5 linked regions of the Coturnix japonica genome follow. The main gene of each other region encodes a partner of the protein of the gene in region 5 in a complex. Links are inferred from orthologs where the notes say so. Each region holds a gene or a part of one and is shown on either strand. Other genes may lie near its edges.

Region 1 (3,977 bases), on a different chromosome or scaffold from region 5:
ACACACCCAGCTGCAGCATGACATATCATGTAAAAAATACTGGGCTTGTCGCTGCAAAGCATCCATTTTCTCCATGCAGAAAAATAAATTAATAATAATAATAATAAATAAACACAGCAAAGATATGTGCAGGAAAGGTGGAAGTCCTTTCCCAAACGCCATATCCCAGCCTCGACCTCAGGGTGAGCCACCCACAGGCACTGCTAGGGACGGCCTGTGTGAACAAGCTTAAATTTATCCCTTCATTCATACTTCGGTTAAACATGGGATTTGGTCCCGCATTAAACATTCACCACACCGCGCCAAAGCTGAAAGATACCTTTCATGCTCAAATTTACTCTAAACTATATATATATATATACACACACACACCAGAAACGTACTCCAGAGCCGTGTCAACACTGCACGGGAGCCATCCCATGACGTGCCAGCGATAACGGAACGCACAAGGGCAGTTTGTGACACCCGGGGCCGCCGCAGCCATCCCCGCAGCGCCAGGCAGTTTCCCAACCCGGCCCCGGCCCGACTGTACTCGGCGAGATGCATTTGAGTAAGAAAAACAAGTCTAAGCACGAAAAAGATCTAGGTGTGCTCTAATTTCGCATGCTGCGAACGAGAAGCGTTTCTGATTTAATCTCATTAGTCTGCACGTCTGTTGTGCAGACAAAAAAAGGAGAGCTCGGCGCTGGGGCCCCCCCGCAGGTGGGACGGAGCCGAGCGGCCCCGGGGCACAGAGCCCCGCGCCGAGAGGAGCTGAGCACTTTCCGCCTATTGTTCTGACAGCGCTGACACCAACTTAGGGACGAGCCCGGGCTCCCCCCTGCACTAACGACAGCTCGACTGCCGCCGGTCTGCGCACCGGCAGAATAAAAGGACGGACGGGGGGGGGGGAAGCAGCCAGAGAACTGGAACCGGACGGAGCTGGGGACAGGTGTCCCCCGCCGGACGAGCGCACCGGCTCCGCTCCGTGCCCCCCCCCCAGCCCCCGCCCGGAAGCAGGTGCAGCGCCGCGGGCTCCCGGGGCCGGGCCGCGTCCAGCCGGGTCAGTCGTCGGGCCGGCAGCCGGCGGAGGGCGGGGCGAGGGCGGCCATGGGCGGCGCGGCGGCCCTGACACCGGCCCGGGAGAGGGTGCCGGGAACAAGGGGCTCCGCGCGGCCCTGCGGCTCAGCGCACACACACATACACACACGCACGCACATACACACACAACAATAGCGCGGTGGGTGCGTGCCACGCTCCACGCGCGGAGCCGCCGCCGAATCCCGGGCCCGGCGCGCGCGGCGGCCGTTGGTTGTTGCCGCGTCCCGGCCTTGCGCAGCACCGACACGCGGCGGGATGGAGGCGGGGGGGGGAGAAGCGGCGGCCCGGGGCTCAGCGCCGCCTCCCACGCGCGCAACTTTCACTTCCCCGCGGAAGGAGCCGGGTGGCAGCGGGCAGCCCCCCCTACAGCCCCCCAGGAAAGACGGGGCCGCGGGGTCACCCCGCCGAGCGGGGCAGGGATTCCCCGGGCCGGGAGATCCGCCCTCCCTCTCCCCCCACCCCGCGGTGGGGCACGGGCTCGGCGCCAGCCGCGACCCCTCCCCGCCGGGCGCCCCGCGGCGCTGCCGGGGAATCCCCTCCCTCCTCCTCCCCGCCCAGGTGTCAGCCGTTGGGGGTAACCGCTCCCGGCCAAGGGGAAGAACGGAGGGAGGGGGGGCGTTGGGGGGCGACCGACTTACTCGTAGTCCCTGAAGATCTCGTTAGTGACCCTGCAGTAAAACACGCGCTCGTCCGGCCGCAGGTCGGCGGGGGGCTTCTCCCTCACGAAGGGCTTTCGGTGCAGCAGCGGCATCGCCGCGTTCCGTTCTGTCCTCGCTGCGCCGGGACCCGGGGAGAAAGGAGACGAAGGGTGAGAAGCGGTGAGAGCGGGCCCGGCGCGTCCCTCCCCCGGGGGCGCCGGAGAAGGAGCGGCAGAGAACAGCGGCACGGCGGGATCCGGCGGCGGCCTTTTGTGTGCCTGACACGCCGCTGCCTGCCTGGGACTGCGCGGGGAGCGGCGGCGGATCCTTCCTCCCCCGCCTCCTCCCGCCGCCTTCACAATGGGGCCGTGACGCCGAGCGGCGGGCGGGCGCGGTGCTCCCCCCCCTCCCGCGCCACACAACGTGCTCGGCGCGGGGACACCCCGGCCGCCGCCGCCGGCTTTGTCTCCGTCGCCCCCCCCCCCGCCCCCCGGGTCACCCCTTCCTCACCCCTTCCCCGCCTCCGAGCCGCGCGCCGCGGCCGGACACAACTTCCACTCCCCGCGGGGCGAGCGCGGCGGCCGCTTCCTGCCTGCTGGCCGCCCCGGCGCGCTCCGCAGCCCTTTCCGCCCCGGCCGCTCCCCGGCCGCCGCCTCCTGCCTCCGCGGGACGGCGCGGCCCTGGCTCCGGGTGCGGCGCGGTGCGGGGGGCTGCCCGGCCCCTCCGCCTCCTACCTGGAGCCGCTGCCCCGGCTGCTCGGGCGGTACGTAACGCGGCCCGCGGCTCTACCCCGCTTCTCCTCTGCCCCCCAGCTCCCGGGAAGTTTTTGATCTACTTCTTCGAGCCCTCAATCAGGAAGAGCTGCTGGGAGGAGCTTTCCACTTCTCTCCCCTACATCTTTATTGGCCGCTCGGTGCCTTCCAGCGTGTGTCACACAGGAAGACAGAGAGCTACATTATTAATTAATGGCTGAGAGGGCTCATCCTCCATTTTTGAATTATCAGCCTGCGATCTGCCGGCCGAGGGGAGGAAGGCGGTTCTCCCCGCTCGCCCCCCGGCCCCGTGGATCCCCGCCCCGGCAGCGCCGCGCTCAGCAGGCAGCCCCCGGCCGCAGCTTTCCCTGCCCGAAGCCGGGGGCAGCCGGCAGCCGAGGCGCACGGCAGCACCGGGCTGTGCGTGTTGTGCTGCGGGGAAGGTCGGCAGCGCGTCAGTTGTGCCCGGAGCTGGGCCCCGTTCCGCCGCCCCCTTTATTTTTCCGCCACTTCGTTGGAAACGTCCGTACATCGCGCTACCGGTGTACTCGGTTTTCTGTTGGTAGCGGTTTTATTTTTCACCGTTTTTACTGTCTTTAAGGCATTTCCATGCGTAATTAAATCATGGACCTTAGCCTAATTGTGATCTCTTACGTGACAGCCGGCTTAGAGACGTATGCATAGAGCCCACCGCAAGCTCCAGCGCTTACATAGAAGCGCACTTAACTATCGCAGAGCCCTCCCCCTCACACACAGAACCACCCGGGTGGGCGGTTTCTGGGGGCTCACATCTAAGCAGGAGCCTTCAGCATCAACCCTGCTCAGGCACATAAAGGTGCTGCGCTGCTTCCTGCACCTGTACAGGGGCTGTTTGTCTTCCGTGCAAGGATCGGCGTTGCTGTAGCCCGGATGACTGCAATCTTAAAGAATGTTTACACTCCAAGTCGTGAATTGCTTTGTTTAAAAAGTGATCGGGTTTTAATGAAAAGCGCTGAGAAATGCCAGTGCTCTCCTCAAGTTTACAAAGTACTGAACTTGAACTACAGCACAGGTTAGCTCCGAGTTCCACCAGCTCATTTTTATTTGCCACTTGGCTTCGCTTTCAGTTTGTAATTAATTACCAGCAAATGGCACAAATGCAACTTTCAGTTAATGCACTTTTAGCGCATCAAACATCAATTTTAGTCAGTTTTGCATCAAAACTCTACAGTATGCCACGGCTGTGACATTTAGTCTTGGCAGCCCTCACGATTACAGTGAGATTTTGCAACACTACGCTTTGTTTTCAACTCAAACTCCTCGGCAGATGGGATTAAATTGGAACCTCGGCTTATATAAAAATAATTACATTTCTAAATCTCAAGTTGGAGAGAAGAACTAGAACATGTGAACCTGCAGCTCACAAATGAGAAGGGAACAGACAGACTCGAGTTGATCATTTTTGAAAGTATCTTTACTTTGAAGCCAGTATCGTGATATCTGGGAGTTGGGCTGGTTTTTCCTTACG
Region 2 (3,466 bases), on a different chromosome or scaffold from region 5:
GCGTCTCTCTCTCTTTAGTTCTCCTCCTCCCGGGATTTCGGTTCGTTTTGCTCTTGCATCACTTTGTTTTCTTTCACAACAGAACGGCCGGAGCGCAGAGAATCCAGCGCGACATTTTCAGCCGCGGGATCTCAAATGTGGGGCATTAAATAATGTGAAATTGGTGTTAAAAAGGGGCAGGTGCCCCCTGGTCCCGGGGCAGAACCCACGGGGGCTCAGCAGCGCACGTTGCCCACGTTCTGCACGGACGGCAGCGAAAAAACGGTGGAAAATGGGATTTGTGCTCGGAGGGCACCGAGGGCTCCAGCTGGGACCCGTCCCGGTGTTTGTGGCCGCTCCGTGAGCCGGGACGCGGAGCTGCCCGCGATGGCGCCGTCGGGGCAACGGCGCCGCTGTCACTGCGACCTGAGCAGCGTCTGGCACCGCGATGCTTTGTCCTGTCTGAGCCCACCCGGTGCTGACCCATCCCGGGAGCTGCTCGGGGGGCTCCGGAGCTGCCACTGCCCCCAGCCCGGTGCGGCTGTGACGATGTGCGGGTGCGGGTCGGACCATTCGCGCTCACCATTTCCCATCCACGGACGCGTCCTATGGGCTCTCCTCCCTCCTGAGAACCGTGCGGGCCGTCCGAGCCGAAGGAGCCGAAGGAGCCGAAGGAGTTGAAGGAGCTGAAGGGGCTGAAGGGGCTGCAGGAGCTGCAGGAGCTGCAGGAGCTCAGCCCGCCCGGCACTGAAAGCAGAAGCTGTTTCCTAACGTTGTGTTGGTGCGGGGCTGCGCGCAACGCCAGGAAGCGGCTGCGGCCTGAATGTGAGAGTGGGGGGGGGGGGAGGAGATGCTGCTGCCCCGTCCAGGAACCGACGTGGGCTCAGGGAGCGACCCCGGGCCGCAGCATCGGCACAGGAGGGATCGGGCCGGGGGGGAACGGGCTGAGCGGAGCCCCGTCCGTGTCCGTGGGTGATGGGGGGTTATGGGGACTGCGGGGCTGCGTTTGGGGCACAGGGGGGCGGAGAGCCGAATTTGGGGCACAGAGCGGAAGTTTGGGGCACAGCGGGGCCGGAGGGCGGGATGTGGGGCACAGAGCGGGTGGGGGGCGAGTTCGGGGGCGGCGGGAGGACGGAGAACCCGGCCGGGGATGCGGGAGGGGCCCGGTCCCGTGCGGGGCGCCCGGCTCCGCGGCACAGACAGACACAGCGCCCCCCAGCGGCACAGACAGACACAGCGCCCCCCAGCGGCACAGACAGACACAGCGCCCCCCAGCGGCACAGAGACACAGCGCCCCCCAGCGGCACAGAGACACAGCGCCCCCCAGCGGCACACAGCGATGACAGCCGGCGCTCCGCTCCGCCCCGCAGGCAGCACTCACTGCGCATGCGCGTTGCGGGATGGCGGCGGCGGCGGGGCCGGAGGCGGCGGCGGAAGATGCGGGAGGAGCGGGACCGGGAGCGGGACCCGGAGCGGCGCGTGGTGCCAGGCTGCCGCTGTCACGGGTGAAGGCGCTGGTGAAGGCGGACCCGGACGTCAGCCTGGCCAGCCACGAGGCCGTGTTCGTGCTGGCGCGGGCCGCGGTGAGCGGCGGGGGCGGGCGGGGCAACGCGGGGCAGTGCGGGGTAATGCGGGGCAGCCTCCGGTCCGTGCCGTTCTGTCCCGGTCTGTCCCGTTCCGTCCCGTTCCGTCCGTGTGACGCTCGTGCTCGCCCCGCAGGAGCTGTTCGTGGAGAACATCGCTAAGGACGCGTTTGTGTTCGCCCAGCAGGGGAAGAGGAAAACGCTGCAGAGGAAGGACCTGGGTACGGGGCGGAACCGGGGGGGGGGGTCCGAAGAGAAGAGAAACGTCCCAGCTCTTCCCGGTTGGCCCTTCTGTCTGTGTCGGCACTGAGCCCTTTTCCCTTTGCAGATAACGCCATTGAGGCTGTTGATGAGTTCGCTTTTCTGGAGGGTGAGTTTCGGTTTCCCCCATTAGTCCATAATCCCTTTCAAAGCAGCCCCGCATCCTCCTATATCCCTCCTATATCCCTCCTATATCCCTCCTATATCCTTCCTGTATCCCTCCTGCAGCCCCATGGTCTCACTATCTGGGTCTGTATCTGGGCCTTCCAGCCCCACACCCCACTTATAGCCCCCCCTATAACCCTACAGCCTCCTATAGCCCCCCCCACTGCTCCCTGTAGCCACATATTCCTCTATATCCCTGGTACAGCCCCCCATAGCCCCATGCCCCCCTGTTTCCCCCCCATACTCCCTTTATCTGGGCCTTTTAGCCCCACATCCCCATATAGCCCCCTCCATAGACCCACAGCTCCCTATAAACCCGAGTTCCAGCTGTTCTTGTAGCTGTGTTTCATTTTCCTTTCTGGTCCCTGAGGCTGCTTTGCTTCATCGTTGTTTTTGTTTCCAGGCACTTTGGACTGAGCTGCTCAGCAATGGGGTTCTGTGCAGATGGGTCGGCCGGCACCGGCTGCACTTCCCAGCAGTGGGACACCAATGTGGGCAGCCGCGGTGCTTTGTGTAACGACTGAGTGTCTGTAAGATCTTTGTTGAAAGCTTTTGTTGTAAGTATTTTGTAGGACTCTGACCTCCTTGTTCTGCTGCTGCTCCCCAGCCCTGCCCCCCCCCCAGGCACCATGGAGCAGAGCTGAGCTCCCGAGGCAGCTCCCTGTTGGTTTATCCCACCTGCTGGTCTGTAGATACATTATTGAAGTGGATGTTTTGGTCTCTGTGTGTTTTGTTGGGTTCCTTTTTGGCCAGTGCAATTAAAGGCGGAGCTGTTTTGAGTGGCTGTTCTGAGTGATGCTGCTCTGTGCTGCTCTGCTGTTCCTGTGGCACAGATGCAGTTTGGAAGGGATGCTCCGCTCCAGGCACACAGATGAGCTGCAGAGAGGCTCGTGTTGCTGTTAGGGCTGCATGGCTCCATCAAGTTCTGCGATGGTCACAGCTGGACAGTAATAAATCCCTGCTTTTGAAGGCGTTGCCTGCCGTGTTTCACTGCTCTTCTCCTTTGCTCTCATTGCTGAACCTGGCCCTTCTCCTGTGCGTGGATCTGCTGGGCTGTGCTGCAGCCCTCCCTGCCCTTGCCAAAGCACAGCGTGTGGCCCATGAGCTGTCCTGCTTTGGGCAGAGCTGCACGGTGCCTTCCTTGCCAGCAGGTTCCTTTTGCTGCCCTCGGGGCTGATTCAGGCCCATTGAGCACAGGGCCCATAGGGGTGCCTGGTTTTGTGTCTGATCTCTCCCTGCTGTGCTTTGCTGGGCAGCATCGCCTGCTCACAGCAGGTCAATCAGGGTTTGTCTTTGGGCTGAGCCCACGAGCAGAGGCTCAGGGATGCTGTGGGGTGTCCTGACAGGACAAAATGGGTCCCTTTGTTCACCGTGGGTCTGTGGCCTTTGGGAGCAGCTCTGGATTCAGTTACACATGCAGCTGTAAAGTGTTGGCCACTAAAGTGGTGCCAAAGTCACTTAGAGATGAGAACTGCAGC
Region 3 (4,197 bases), on a different chromosome or scaffold from region 5:
CAACAATCCACGTTTAACAGACTTCACTCAGCGTATTTTATCAGAGCACCACGGGCACACAGAGCTGATTACAGAGGAAGGATCTTGTACACATTGATGCTGTTATCCACCACATCTACTTCTTATCACTGCGGCCACTGAAACACATTCGCTGTTGGAATGGTTCTCGTCCTCTACTCAGCTTCTGTGCGGATGTGCCGGTTTAGGCTGCATTACAGCAAGAGCTTTATTATTATTATTATTCTTTTTTTTAAAGCTAAATCAAAATCAAAACAGAACACTCATTCAAATCGGGCTTGGTCCACTGCTAATGCCCTGCCACTGTTCCGGAATACAGGGGAAGGGTTGGATCGCTTCCTGGCTCCCCAAGCAGAAGAGGACCAGGGGGAGCAGATCCTGTGTAAAACCCCTCCCCTCACCTGAGAAACACAACATGGGAAAGAGCTCCCTTTAAAGAGTGAAAGAGCTTTTGGACTGAGAGCTGCCTGTGAGGAATTGTACGTTTGGAAAACGATTGTCTGAAGAAGTCATTCTCATTCATCTGAGCAAGTTCTGCTGTCAGCTTTACATTAGTGCTTCTCTTGTCACCACGTTTCTGAGGGAAGAATTCCATTCTTCAGGAAGTACGCAGTTCAGTTTTTAAACTTCTTAAAGCAAAAGCAGATGGCTCAGTGTATAAATAAATCCAGCATCTGGATTCTCAGTCACAAAAATAACATCCTTTACGCAACAAAAAAAAATGGATCAATTATGAAGCAGCTTCCCATTTAGCCTTAAGATCCAACAGCTTCATCCACAGCTTCATCATCATCCTCTTCATCATCATCCTCTTCATCACAGTTCCCCAACTCTCCACCTCGCTTCTCTTTTTCGAGCATTTTTAGGTATTTGCTAGCTAGGATTTTCTTTGGCAAGATATCTGGAAGGGAGAATGGCTTCTTTTAGTCAGTGTAAGTACTTACATTGCCTATTTCATAGTGTTGCATTCATACAGGATCACACAGTCACAGAGGTTAGAAGGGACTGAGCAGCACTAAACAAAACCAAAGCAACTAACACATTTCAGTTAATAACCAGTTAATTTAGCCTGGCGTACAGATGTATCACAAGTGGAAGTGGATGTAATTCCTTTTTTCTTTTTTAACTATAAGCAATGTTATTTGTTTGATGTTAAATGGGATGCTCAATTACTCAACAGCCTTTGAGAGATTCAATAGGACAGCTGCCTTACTTGTGTCCTAGACAAACCTGATTACTGTGTTCAGGTAAGATGCTCATTCAGGGCAGTAACGATGGCCCTGAGACAAGGGCCATCAAATATCTCATTCTCAGACTCTATCCTATGTCCATGCCCTTTCAGAGTGAAACATTACCAATAAATTACAACAAGAGAAAGGTCTGCATGCACATGTGCGTACAGATGTAAATATGTGCATTAAAAAAGAGAGAGGAACCATAGGATGCATAATTTTCAACAAACAGGATTTGCAGAATTAAATGCTTTTTGAGCCATGTAATTTGTCACATCTTTTTTGGGTCTTGTTTTACAAGCTGAAAGCTTTTAAATGTTGTTGGCATGTTAGAAACGCTTATGGCAATACACTGAGCACTAATTACCCCAGTATAATTTTGCAACACTGGAGAAATCCCTGTCCACAAATAGGTGTTTTCAGCAATGTAGATTATGAGTTTGATTTGAATCACAGAATAGATTGGGTTGGAAGAGACCTTAAAAGCCTATCTAGTTCCAACTATATATGGTCTGGGCTGCCACCCACCAGACCAGGCTGCCCAGGGTCCCACCCAACCTGGCCTTGAACCCCTCCATGGAGGGGGAATCTCCAGCTTCTCTAGGCAGCCTGTTGCTGTGCCTCACCACCCTCTCAGTAAAAAATAAGAAAAGTAATAATAAAATAAAAATTAATAAAAATCCAATTTAAATCTCCCCTCTTTTAGTTTTAACCCCCCCCCCCCCTTGTTCTATCGCTGAGACCATGTAAAAAGTCAGACTTCCTCCTGCTTGTAAGCTCCATTCAAGTGCTGCAATGAGGTCCCTCTGGAGCCTTCTCTTCCCTAAGCTAAAGAACCTTTCTTCATAAGAGAGGTGCTCCAGCCCTTTGATCATCTTTGTGGCCCTCCTGCAGACCTGCTCTAACAACTCCACATCTTTTTGCACACATAATAAGGGCACCTAGCAGAGGTGATTGCAAAAGCAGGAGTGGAAGAGTGGCTAAAGTGCAGCAGATCTACAAAACTACACACAGGATTACCACTGCTCTACAGATACCTGCAAGGAACTGAAAGGTTTCGCACTCCTCTGCGGTGTGAGACAGGTCGCTGTAGGTGAGGGCGTTATTCTCCTTGCCTCTGCCGTGTTTGTAGGAGTACGACGCCAAATACTGAACGAAAAGCTCCTAAAACGGAAAGCAAATAATAGTGACTCGGATATAAAAAAGGCAGTTTAACTCCCAATCAAAGCCATAAAAAATTAAAGTGCAGGTATATACAGGGCGCTGGATGCTGTGGCGCTGAGGGAAAAGGCGCAACCCGGCCGAGAGGGGAGGGAAAGCGGGAGACGCTACCGTGGCTTTAGCGGTGAGGAAAAGCGCGTCCTGGTTGATGCTGGAAACCTCCGGCGAGCTCTTCATGATGACTCGGATCCGCGATAGCGGCAGTGACACCAGCCGGTTCTCCCCGCCGCTCAACCTGGCCGCCATTTTACCCCCCCGGCGCGGCCCCGGCCTTTCACCCCTCATCGTAGCGAGAAATGGGCGGCAGCAGCTCGGCCCCCTGGGAGCTGTAGTCCGTGACCGACAGAGGGAACCCGAGCTCCGTTGGAGGGAGGAGGAGGAGGGACTACAGCTCCCGTGAAGCCGAGCGCTGACCGGGCGGCGGGAGGACTACGAGCCCCCGCGCTCGGCCGTTGCCGGCTCTGGTGCTATGGGCGGGATGGCGGCTCCTCACAGCCCCTCAGAGCGGGTCTCACAGAATCATAGAATGACCCGGGTTGGAAGGGACCTCAAGGATCATTATGTTCCAACCCCCCTGCCCAGCAGGGCCACCAAACATACACCTTTACTAGATCAGGTTGCCCAGGGCCCCGTCCAACCTGGTCTTGAACACCTCCAAGGACGGGGCATCCACAACCTCCCAGGGCAGCCTGTTCCAGGGTCTAACCACTCTCCTAGTGAAGAACTTCCCCCTAACGTCCAACCTAAATCTTCCCTCTTTTAACTTAAAACCATTTCCCCATGTCCTGCTATTGTCAGCCCTTTCGAAGAGTTTACTCCCCTCCTGGGAGTCAGTTCCCTTCAGGTATTGAAAGGCTGCAATGAGGTCACCCCGCAACCAAGGGTCTCATACTGCTTGAGCGCCTGGAACTCGTTTATAATGGCAAATAGGCGCTTCCTAAATATAATCCAAGTAGAGGCCAGCGGCTACAGAGTCATGAGTGTAATCACAGGTTGCTAAACGCCTCATTAAGCTGCTGCAGCCCAATAGCAGGGAGCGCTGTCTGGTATCCTGGCGCTTGTAGGCGTGCTGGGTGTGGAGAGCATAAGTAAACTATGAAGTAATGATGGCGGTGGTGACTTTATGAATGCATTCCACATATATGTAGCACCTACACTCTGTGTTGAGCTGCAGGTGGATGGGGAATGGCTGTGGGTATGGTCAGCAATGTCTTGCACAGCCTGTGGTTTGGATGGGTGCACAACTTGTTGGGTAAAATGTGGCACCTTCAACAGTTGTCAGCAACTTAATACAGCGATAGCACAACAATATATATTTGTTCATTGGCTTTGGGTCCAGCATCACCGTATCTGGAGACAACTTTGACAGTTAAGCAACAGCAATCAAAACCTCTTGGACTGCGTGATTCACTTCAGAGTACAACACTGGTGAAATCACTCTGTAGATTATATCCAAAGTGAAGTGTTATGTACAATGATGCTGTATATGTATCGATCAGGCTCAGTTTGTTTGATCCTTGTAGTCTTGTGACACCTTGTGGAAACAGTTGACATTACTATGACAGCGAGATACATATTTAAGCATCTTCTCAGTTTCTCCACCACTTGGAATGAATTCAACCAGGAGATTGAGTAGCTTAATGGCAATGTCAAAGCTCTACACTGTTGTGTTTACAGAGTCACAATCTGATTATCTCCTAGAGACAATAAAACATCAACTACTCCA
Region 4 (3,511 bases), on a different chromosome or scaffold from region 5:
TGTAACTGAGATTGTTGGCCCTAAACCTTTCCTGTTATCTCAGGCTCTCGAGGCAGTGCTCTGTGACATTCTATGCTTTTCAGTGATGTCCGTGGGGTGAGAGAAGCCCTCATGGCATTGGGCTCAGTTGGTCTGTCTGCAGCATGCTTGGAGGAGATAGGACCAGAGGAAAACATGGACTAGAATAACTGAACAGCCTGGTCTGGTGGTTGGTGACCCTGCACATAACAGGGGGGCTGGAATGAGACGATCATTGTGGTCCTTTTCAGCCCAGGCCATTCTATGGTTCTATGACTCTGTGAATAAAAAATAAGGAAATGCTGCTTTGTGTTGTCAAAGCCTTGGTCCTTCAGAGGCTTCTCATTAAGAGAGTGTGTCTGTAGTTTTGGAGCCTTAGATGTGCAGTGATGGACGTTGGTGTCTGTGGGATATTGCTCTGTGCATCCTGTGAATATGTTTTGTGTTTAAAATTTGTGAAATACATTAAGTAGAAGAGAAGCACAAGTGGGGAATGGGTACCACTCAGTTACTGCTTTTAAGACATGGCAGTTCACAAGAAAGGGTGCGGTTTGATGCAGACCATTCAGACCCGGAAATGATTGCTGTTTTCCTACATTCTTACTCAGTTGGGTTGAGAAGATTATGTGGCTGTGCAGCAAATCCATTCAAAGAAATGGTCAAGGCCTAAAATAGTTGGTATCTCGCTCAGCTTGTTTTTCAGCCAGATAGTTCCCCGCTCCGGTTCACTGCTGAGCAGTGCAGGGACTGGTGCTGGCACAAGAGCGGGATTGATGGAGGCTGGGACTGAGCAGCTCAGCTGCCAACTGTCTGACTAATGTCTGGAGTATGATGCTGTTACAAAAACTAAAGGTTATTTTGTTGTTCAAAAATGTCTTAGGTTGGTATGAAGATGAAGTTTTTCATGTGAATGCCTTTGGATTTCCGCCTACTGAGCCGTCTGCTGCCACTAGGTATGAAACTGACTTTTGGCAGCCTCACTCTGACTTTGTATTTTGTTGTAGGTTTCCAAGTAAGCTCGTTATCAGTTTATAATTTTTGTGACATTGAAGTATGCTATTATTTCCCCTCCCCAAATATTTCAGAATAAATACTTTCTTTTCCTATGAGGAAAGGTTGAGGGAACTGGGCTTGTTCAGCTTGGAGAAGGCTGCAGGGAGACCTCATTGTGGCCCTGCAGTATTTGAAGGGAACATATAAACAGGAGAGGGAACGGCTGTATGTGAGGGTGGGCAGTGACAGGACAAGGGGGAATGGTTTGAAACTGAGACAGGGGAGGTTGAGGTTGGATCTTAGGAGGAAGTTTTTCCCCCAGAGGGTGGTGACGCACTGGAACAGGTTGCCCAAGGAGGCTGTGGATGCCCCATCCCTGCAGGCATTCAAGGCCAGGCTGGATGTGGCTCTGGGCAGCCTGGGCTGCTGGTTGGTGACCCTGCACACAGCAGGGGGTTGGAGCTGGATGATTATTGTGGTCCTTTTCAACCCAGGCCATTCTGGGATTCTGTGAAATACAATTTTAAGGAGGCAGTTCTGAGACTTGCATGTTCTGCGTGTTAATAACCACTGAGATCTAAGCATTTCTAGATGGCATAACTAAATACTATTAGATAGGAATATGGAACTCTGTATTGCTCAGGGAGTGGATGAGGGAGGGGACCGTGGGTACACATTACCCTGAGATAATCTGTGGAAGCCCATGCTTTAGATGTGGGTGACTGCCATTTCTTTTCCTTGGTTTCTCCATCAGCTACTAAATGATAAAGGATACAATTTGAGCTACCTTTCATAATAATGATAATTAAAATGGCTCAGGTGAGTCATAATCAAAACTAGTAATTATTTGGGAAGAGAACAGAGTTAACATGAATATTTTAATAATACAGAGCCTTCTATGGGAATATAAACTTCTTTGGAGGTCCTTCCTCAACTTCAGTAAAGGCTTCTGCAAAACTGAAGCAGCTGGAGGATGAAAACGAGGATGCCATGTTTGTGTTTCTTTCTGATGTGTGGTTGGACCAAGCAGAAGTACTAGAAAAGCTGCATACAATGTTTTCAGGTAGGTGGTGGCTGCTTTGAGTCTGAGCTTTGTTCTAGAGAAATTTTACCATCTCCCTTGATCCCTAGCAGTGCTGCTGGTGGCACTGGTGAGTGTGACAAGACACACAGCTAGCTGGCCCTGGGTCCACTTCTATGGCTATGCCCCCCCCTGCTTTGGGCTGAGAGCTCTGGCCTCGCGCTGAGCCTGCACAGGAAATATCCCATGGGAAACCTGCTTTGCAGAGCTGTAAGCTGATGTAGCTTTCTGTACTTGCATCCTGTGTTTGCTCACGTGAGCATCACTGTCCATGCAGGGCAAGCTGGTCAGCTTATGGCTGGCAGCTGGGCTGCTGTGCCCAGGGTCTGCTCACTGCGGTCTGATTGTGCTCTTTTGTGAAATAGGAAGTTTTGTACCTTGTTCACAGGTATGCCTTTAAATGAAAAGGTTGGGCATCGATTTCCAGGTGTCCTTTTGCTTTGTTTATTGTGTGTTTTGGGTGACTTTCAGTTCTGAGAAAGTAACAATAAACCCAGCTGTGGGCAGTATTCCACTGAAGCCCACTGAACCCCAGCCTAAGTAAAGCCAGGGAGGTCTTGCTGCAGTTTTAATGGTAACTATTTGCATTTCACGTTTGCTATTCTGTTTCTTTTGGATCTCTCTTTAACAGATTTACAAATTGTATTGTATTATATTTTTGCGAGCTGTCACTTCCTTTTCATCAACCTTTTAGCACCGATATTGCTTTGGGCAGTCGCCATTTTATGTGCTTTGACAGGAAAGTTCGTGAAATGTCGTCCTAGCCTTAGTTTAAAGAAAACATGGAGTTCATCAGAGATGAGCAGTCCCTCTTGAATCCTGTCTGCTTTTTACCAATGGAAAAATGTCAGTTATTCTCAAAATATGGGCTGTTTCTTCCCTGCATCATTACATTAGTAATGATGGCAATGTTTGGATAACAAGCATCTGTGAGATCTGTGAATTGCTTCTTTGTATTCCAGAACAGTTTTGGAACAGCTTGTCCTGTCTGCCTTAGGTAGAATGGAGGTGTGAGAGGGCGGCTGCCTTAAAAAACAAGCAGTATGAAATTAAGGGTGCCAATCTGCGATTCGCTTAAGGAAAATTGAACATGTTGTCATAATGTCTACTGAGAAGTGAAGTAGTTAACTCTGAAGCTAGGAAACCAGTTCTGTATCTTGATGAGAGTTGGCAAGATCCTTGAACCAAACCAAACCTGTGTCATTAGTGCTATGGTGAGGGTTAGTCAGCTTCATAATGCTAAAAAATGAGTTAAATATTGGGAGAGCTTTTGAATTGGAATGACTCATGGGGGTTAATAATAATTCATTGCTACTTACTTGCTGTTTTTCTCTTCAAGGAAAGAATGTATTATTATTATTAGGTCTTAGTTGTGTCATTGTGTGACTGGGTCAGTGCTTAGTTGTATACACACAAACA
Region 5 (4,177 bases):
AGGACCTGCCCTCGACTCTGGCACTGAGCACCTTGCAGACCTCCCTGACTTGTGCTCACTCATAACTTGCTCTGAGAAGTGGTTTACGGTGGACCCTGGTAGAACTGATGTGGAAGAAGAGGTGTGAATGGGCTCACAAGCCTGCAAGGGCTGAGAATACAGCTTGGCATTACTCCCTGGCCTTTATTTGGGAGCAGAGGAGCTTTGTCTGTCCCTGGCTCTGGACCAACATCATCTCTGCTTCTATTCCAGCCCACCCCCACTGCACAATAACACAAGTTTGCCTTGCTTTGTTCTTAGGTTATGCATATAGGAAATAACCTCGCCTTCTGGCAAAACAGAGATCAACTTCTGATGGCTTTGCTAACAGCGAGCCGCCAGCTGGTCCAGAAGCGGGCATTAGCAGCGTGTGTTACAGTTACAAATGGACCAGCTACAATCGGTCATTATTTCATTAAAAAGTAATGCAACACCTGCTACAGCACTTCACCCCTGAGAGCCGCCGAATGACCCTGCAGAAGAATTGTTAACAGAAGAATACATTGAAGAGTTAGAAACGAGATTTGAGAGCGGTTTGTGTGCGCAACGATAGGCTTTGATTAACACAATTACTGTAAGTGGGAAAGCAATCAGCGCTGTCACGCACACAGTCCTTCCTCCAGCTCTGACCTTTGTGTGTCCGTAATGCTGTGCAGCACCACAACACGTTACTGTGTCCAATACGAGCTGTAAGTCCAGCTATTAATACATCTCACAACTGCTGTGCATCATCCCCAATGCTGCTCCTGCTGCTGGAAAATGCATGTAGGAAAGCCTGCACTGCCAGATCCTGCTCCCAACCTGAAGTTAGCTTAAAAAGTTAAAAGTTAGCTTAAAAACCTGAAGTTGGGAGCAGGATCTGGCAGTGCAGGCTTTCCTACATGCATTTTCCAGCAGCGGGAGCAACCAACCCAGCACAGCACTGGGTCAACCTTCTTCTTTAGCAATAGGGATTAGTGACCAATCTATTGGTTCAGCAAAAGGAATCCATGGGCTGGAAACGTTCAGCTTTAGTGAGGCTGAGCTTATCAAGGCTTTATGAGCAATGGGGGTCTCCTGAGCTGGGGGCAGTGGATGGCAGCGGGTCAGAGCCCTCAATGGTGGGCACTGGGAGCACTGAGCACACAAAGGGCCATCAATCAGCTCATGTTTATGGGAGAAAGATGGATGTGGATGCTGATGTACTGCGTGGTGTGTCCTGTCAAGTCACATTCTATGTGTGGTGAGGAATAACGGAGTGCTGCTTTGTTCCACCACATCACAGTTCGTTTTCTTTCCAGAGGCCGAATGAGCCATATTGGCCCCCCGCCGCCATATTGTTCCCCCCCCCAACGGCGGCCGCGGGGCAGGGCGGGAAGGAGCGGTGCATTGTGGGCCGTGGCGGCGCGGGAGGCCCAATATGGCGGAGAGACCGGAGGACCTGAACCTGCCCAACGCCGTCATCACCCGCATCATCAAGGAGGCGGTGGGTGCGGGACGGGCTGCGGGGCTGGGCCATACGGAGACCTCGCTGTCCCTCATAGATCCTCGTTGTGGGGTTGTGCTGCTCGTAATGCCTTACCTGAGGGCCGTGCTGAGCTCAGTGCCACAGCAGAACCGATATGTGCTCGGAGCAGCAGCTGACAGGCCTGGGTTTGGTTTCCAGCATCAGTTCACGGGTCTTTATTTGCTTTAAAGCATCAGTTCACAGCTCTTTATTTGCTTCCCAGCAGCGATTAACGGGTCTTTATTTGCTTCCCAGCTGCCCGACGGGGTGAACATCTCCAAAGAAGCCCGCAGTGCGATATCCCGAGCAGCGAGTGTGTTCGTGCTCTATGCGACCTCATGGTAAGAGCTTGTTGTGTGTATAAGCTGCTGTTAGTAACTCAGATCTCTGCTGGTTGGGCTGGGGCTCGTTGCTGGGTGTGCATCCATCGTGTATTTTTGTGGCCCCCCTCTGGACACGTTTAGAACTGTAATAAAGAAGAGTGAATGATGGCAGTTATCCATTAACTCTTCTTGTTTTTGAGCAGTGCGAATAACTTTGCCATGAAGGGGAAGAGGAAGACGCTGAATGCTGGCGATGTGCTCTCTGCCATGGAGGAAATGGAGTTCCAGCGGTTTATTGCTCCTCTGAAGGAATCCCTGGAAGGTATCGGCCTGTGACCCTATGGACGGAGCTGCCATAGCACCAAGTTCTGTTTGCTTACATCAGACAAGCAGCACTTAATTGTCTGTCCTGTAAAAACAAGACTTTGCAAAAAAGCAAGAGTTTGCAAATACTTCTTTGCTTGGCATCTTACACTGCAGCTTGTGTGGATGTTAATAATGTGCACCTTAACAGCTGGGATAACATTTCACCACTGATGAGAACTGAGAAAGTCTTATCTGCTATCAGTCCCCTCTTAGGTCTGTGTAAGGGAAGTCGTAGGTGTTGCCTGCACATGTGAAATCCTGTGTCCTATTCAGCATTTATCTGCTGAAACTTCACCTGATTTCTCACGGGCTGGACAGCACAGCTCTAATAATAGGGGGAGCTGCTGCTGTGAGTTCATTAAGTGGACACTGGGCCCCAGCTGCTGTAGTGCTCACGTGGTGGAAACACCGGCTTGCAGGTTTTCACTCTTCTTTTTCTTTGTAGTTTACAGACGTGAACAGAAGGGAAAGAAAGAAGCGAGAAAAGATAAAGACAAGAAGGCAGACTCAGAGGAACAAGATAAGAGCCGAGAAGATGATAATGATGATGATGATGAAAGGATGGAGGAAGAAGAGCAAAATGATGAGGAAGAGGTGGACAACTGAGCTTGCCAATGGGACATTCAGGGTTGGGTTTTGTTACTAGGGATATAAATGTTGTAAAGAAATCTGGCCATGTCCCGTCTGGTTTCCAGTAGAGCTCTGTACTGTTCTTCTGGAATCTCTCTTTGGCTTTAGCCTGTACACAAAGGACTTGGCTAAAGCATTTCTCATGGGTGCCTCACCTCCCTGCACGCAGGGGACTTGGCAGCTTCCCCAGGTGCTGAACAGACAGTAATGGGTCTGGTATTTTTATGCTGGATTGACTCTGAAACAAAGGGAAAAAAGAGCAATGTCGGATGGCTCAGCACTGAAGTGACCTGGAGAACCTGAAAGAGCTTATGAATAAGCTCACTCAACCAAGCGGAGAGCTGAATCCTGGCTCATTAACCCCTCAGGGTTTAGAGTCTACGTGATGATGTTGAGAGCCTTAGAAGCTGACTGTTCAAGCTCTAAGTGATGTTTTTCCCTTCGTTGTCTTGCATTCTGGCTGTGCCTTCTCTCCCCTGCTCTTTCACAGTGATGCTCTTTCAGCCTCACCAGCTGGATGCAGCACACAGTACGAGGGTCAGTGAGCTGAATTCCTCCCCTCCATGAACCAGAATAATAACAAAAAAAGACTTGAAGGTGCTTCCAAAGTGAATCTATACCAGAAATGCTGTTTTGTGTCTTTCAAGCCCTTGGAGACAAAGAGGGAACTTTGATGAACGACCTTAAGCAAAGCTACCTGCAAAATTATGTCCGAGGAACAGCAAAAGGCTGCAGCAAGTGTGTGTTGTGCTGCAGCTGATGGTCTCAGCTCCTTCCCCTCCTCTGTGGAGCTGCAGCTCCTGCAGACAGGCTGCTGGGTGCTGCTGGGTGCTGCATTACTGGTTTCCTTCTATGTCTGGGGGCTTTATTCCATGTTATTGAGCTTTCTGGTACCTGTTGGGGTGTATCCCGTCCCGGACCAGGATTTAAATAAAAGTTCAGATTCTTTACGGGTCTTGACTGGTTGATTTCCATGGTTAATCCATGAGCTGTTCGTGGTGTGAGTGCGTTGCGGTTCAGGTCACACAGCGCCCACGAGCCAAATTCCCGCCACCGGGAGCGCGCCAAGACAAGCGCGCGCCAGCCCTTTCCCGCGCTCCGCCGCGCGAGACTTGTGATATGCAAATCAGGGGGGCGGGGCTATGCAAATCTGGCTGTGTGCTGCGGCGGGAAGCGGCGGCAGGTGAGCGCGGGGTCGCGGGTCTGAGCGCGGTTCGGCCGGTGCTGCGGGGTTATTGCGGGGAGTCGGGCGACACCGCACCGAGAGCGGCCCGCAGTGCCCGGATCGGCACGGAGCGTTACGGGGCCGGGAGGTGTCCATAGGGCCCGGCCC

Evidence for each region.
Region 1: POLE3 (region 5) and BAZ1A share a complex: the UniProt entries of both Homo sapiens proteins name them as parts of the CHRAC ISWI chromatin remodeling complex. The link is inferred for Coturnix japonica from reciprocal best matches to the Homo sapiens genes POLE3 and BAZ1A.
Region 2: POLE3 (region 5) and POLE4 share a complex: the UniProt entries of both Homo sapiens proteins name them as parts of the DNA polymerase epsilon complex. The link is inferred for Coturnix japonica from reciprocal best matches to the Homo sapiens genes POLE3 and POLE4.
Region 3: POLE3 (region 5) and CHRAC1 share a complex: the UniProt entries of both Homo sapiens proteins name them as parts of the CHRAC ISWI chromatin remodeling complex. The link is inferred for Coturnix japonica from reciprocal best matches to the Homo sapiens genes POLE3 and CHRAC1.
Region 4: POLE3 (region 5) and POLE2 share a complex: the UniProt entries of both Homo sapiens proteins name them as parts of the DNA polymerase epsilon complex. The link is inferred for Coturnix japonica from reciprocal best matches to the Homo sapiens genes POLE3 and POLE2.

Annotation. Positions count from the first base shown.
Region 1 is NC_029520.1:32,626,956-32,630,932, forward strand, and holds the start of BAZ1A (bromodomain adjacent to zinc finger domain protein 1A), read right to left. Parts: upstream 2,809-3,977; 5' UTR 2,453-2,808; intron 2,332-2,452; exon of another isoform or gene 2,229-2,331; intron 1,855-2,228; 5' UTR 1,832-1,854; coding exon 1,719-1,831; intron 1-1,718. UniProt on the Homo sapiens protein: Regulatory subunit of the ATP-dependent ACF-1 and ACF-5 ISWI chromatin remodeling complexes, which form ordered nucleosome arrays on chromatin and slide edge- and center-positioned histone octamers away from their original location on the DNA template to facilitate access to DNA during DNA-templated processes such as DNA replication, transcription, and repair.
Region 2 is NC_029543.1:373,734-377,199, reverse strand, and holds POLE4 (DNA polymerase epsilon subunit 4), read left to right. Parts: upstream 1-1,362; 5' UTR 1,363-1,379; coding exon 1,380-1,562; intron 1,563-1,698; coding exon 1,699-1,783; intron 1,784-1,890; coding exon 1,891-1,932; intron 1,933-2,391; coding exon 2,392-2,405; 3' UTR 2,406-2,957; downstream 2,958-3,466. Other genes in the region: PRAM1 (PML-RARA-regulated adapter molecule 1), read right to left, coding at 563-565. UniProt on the Homo sapiens protein: Accessory component of the DNA polymerase epsilon complex. Participates in DNA repair and in chromosomal DNA replication.
Region 3 is NC_029517.1:131,125,147-131,129,343, reverse strand, and holds the start of CHRAC1 (chromatin accessibility complex protein 1), read right to left. Parts: upstream 2,805-4,197; 5' UTR 2,757-2,804; coding exon 2,583-2,756; intron 2,415-2,582; coding exon 2,288-2,414; intron 920-2,287; coding exon 774-919; 3' UTR 1-773. UniProt on the Homo sapiens protein: Forms a complex with DNA polymerase epsilon subunit POLE3 and binds naked DNA, which is then incorporated into chromatin, aided by the nucleosome remodeling activity of ISWI/SNF2H and ACF1.
Region 4 is NC_029520.1:52,269,732-52,273,242, reverse strand, and holds part of POLE2 (DNA polymerase epsilon subunit 2), read left to right. Parts: intron 1-898; coding exon 899-971; intron 972-1,901; coding exon 1,902-2,074; intron 2,075-3,511. UniProt on the Homo sapiens protein: Accessory component of the DNA polymerase epsilon complex. Participates in DNA repair and in chromosomal DNA replication.
Region 5 is NC_029532.1:789,233-793,409, forward strand, and holds POLE3 (DNA polymerase epsilon subunit 3), read left to right. Parts: upstream 1-1,368; 5' UTR 1,369-1,438; coding exon 1,439-1,504; intron 1,505-1,579; exon of another isoform or gene 1,580-1,640; coding exon of another isoform or gene 1,641-1,697; exon of another isoform or gene 1,698-1,714; intron 1,715-1,780; coding exon 1,781-1,866; intron 1,867-2,051; coding exon 2,052-2,170; intron 2,171-2,659; coding exon 2,660-2,820; 3' UTR 2,821-3,797; downstream 3,798-4,177. Other genes in the region: ALAD (delta-aminolevulinic acid dehydratase), read left to right, coding at 3,964-4,027. UniProt on the Homo sapiens protein: Accessory component of the DNA polymerase epsilon complex. Participates in DNA repair and in chromosomal DNA replication.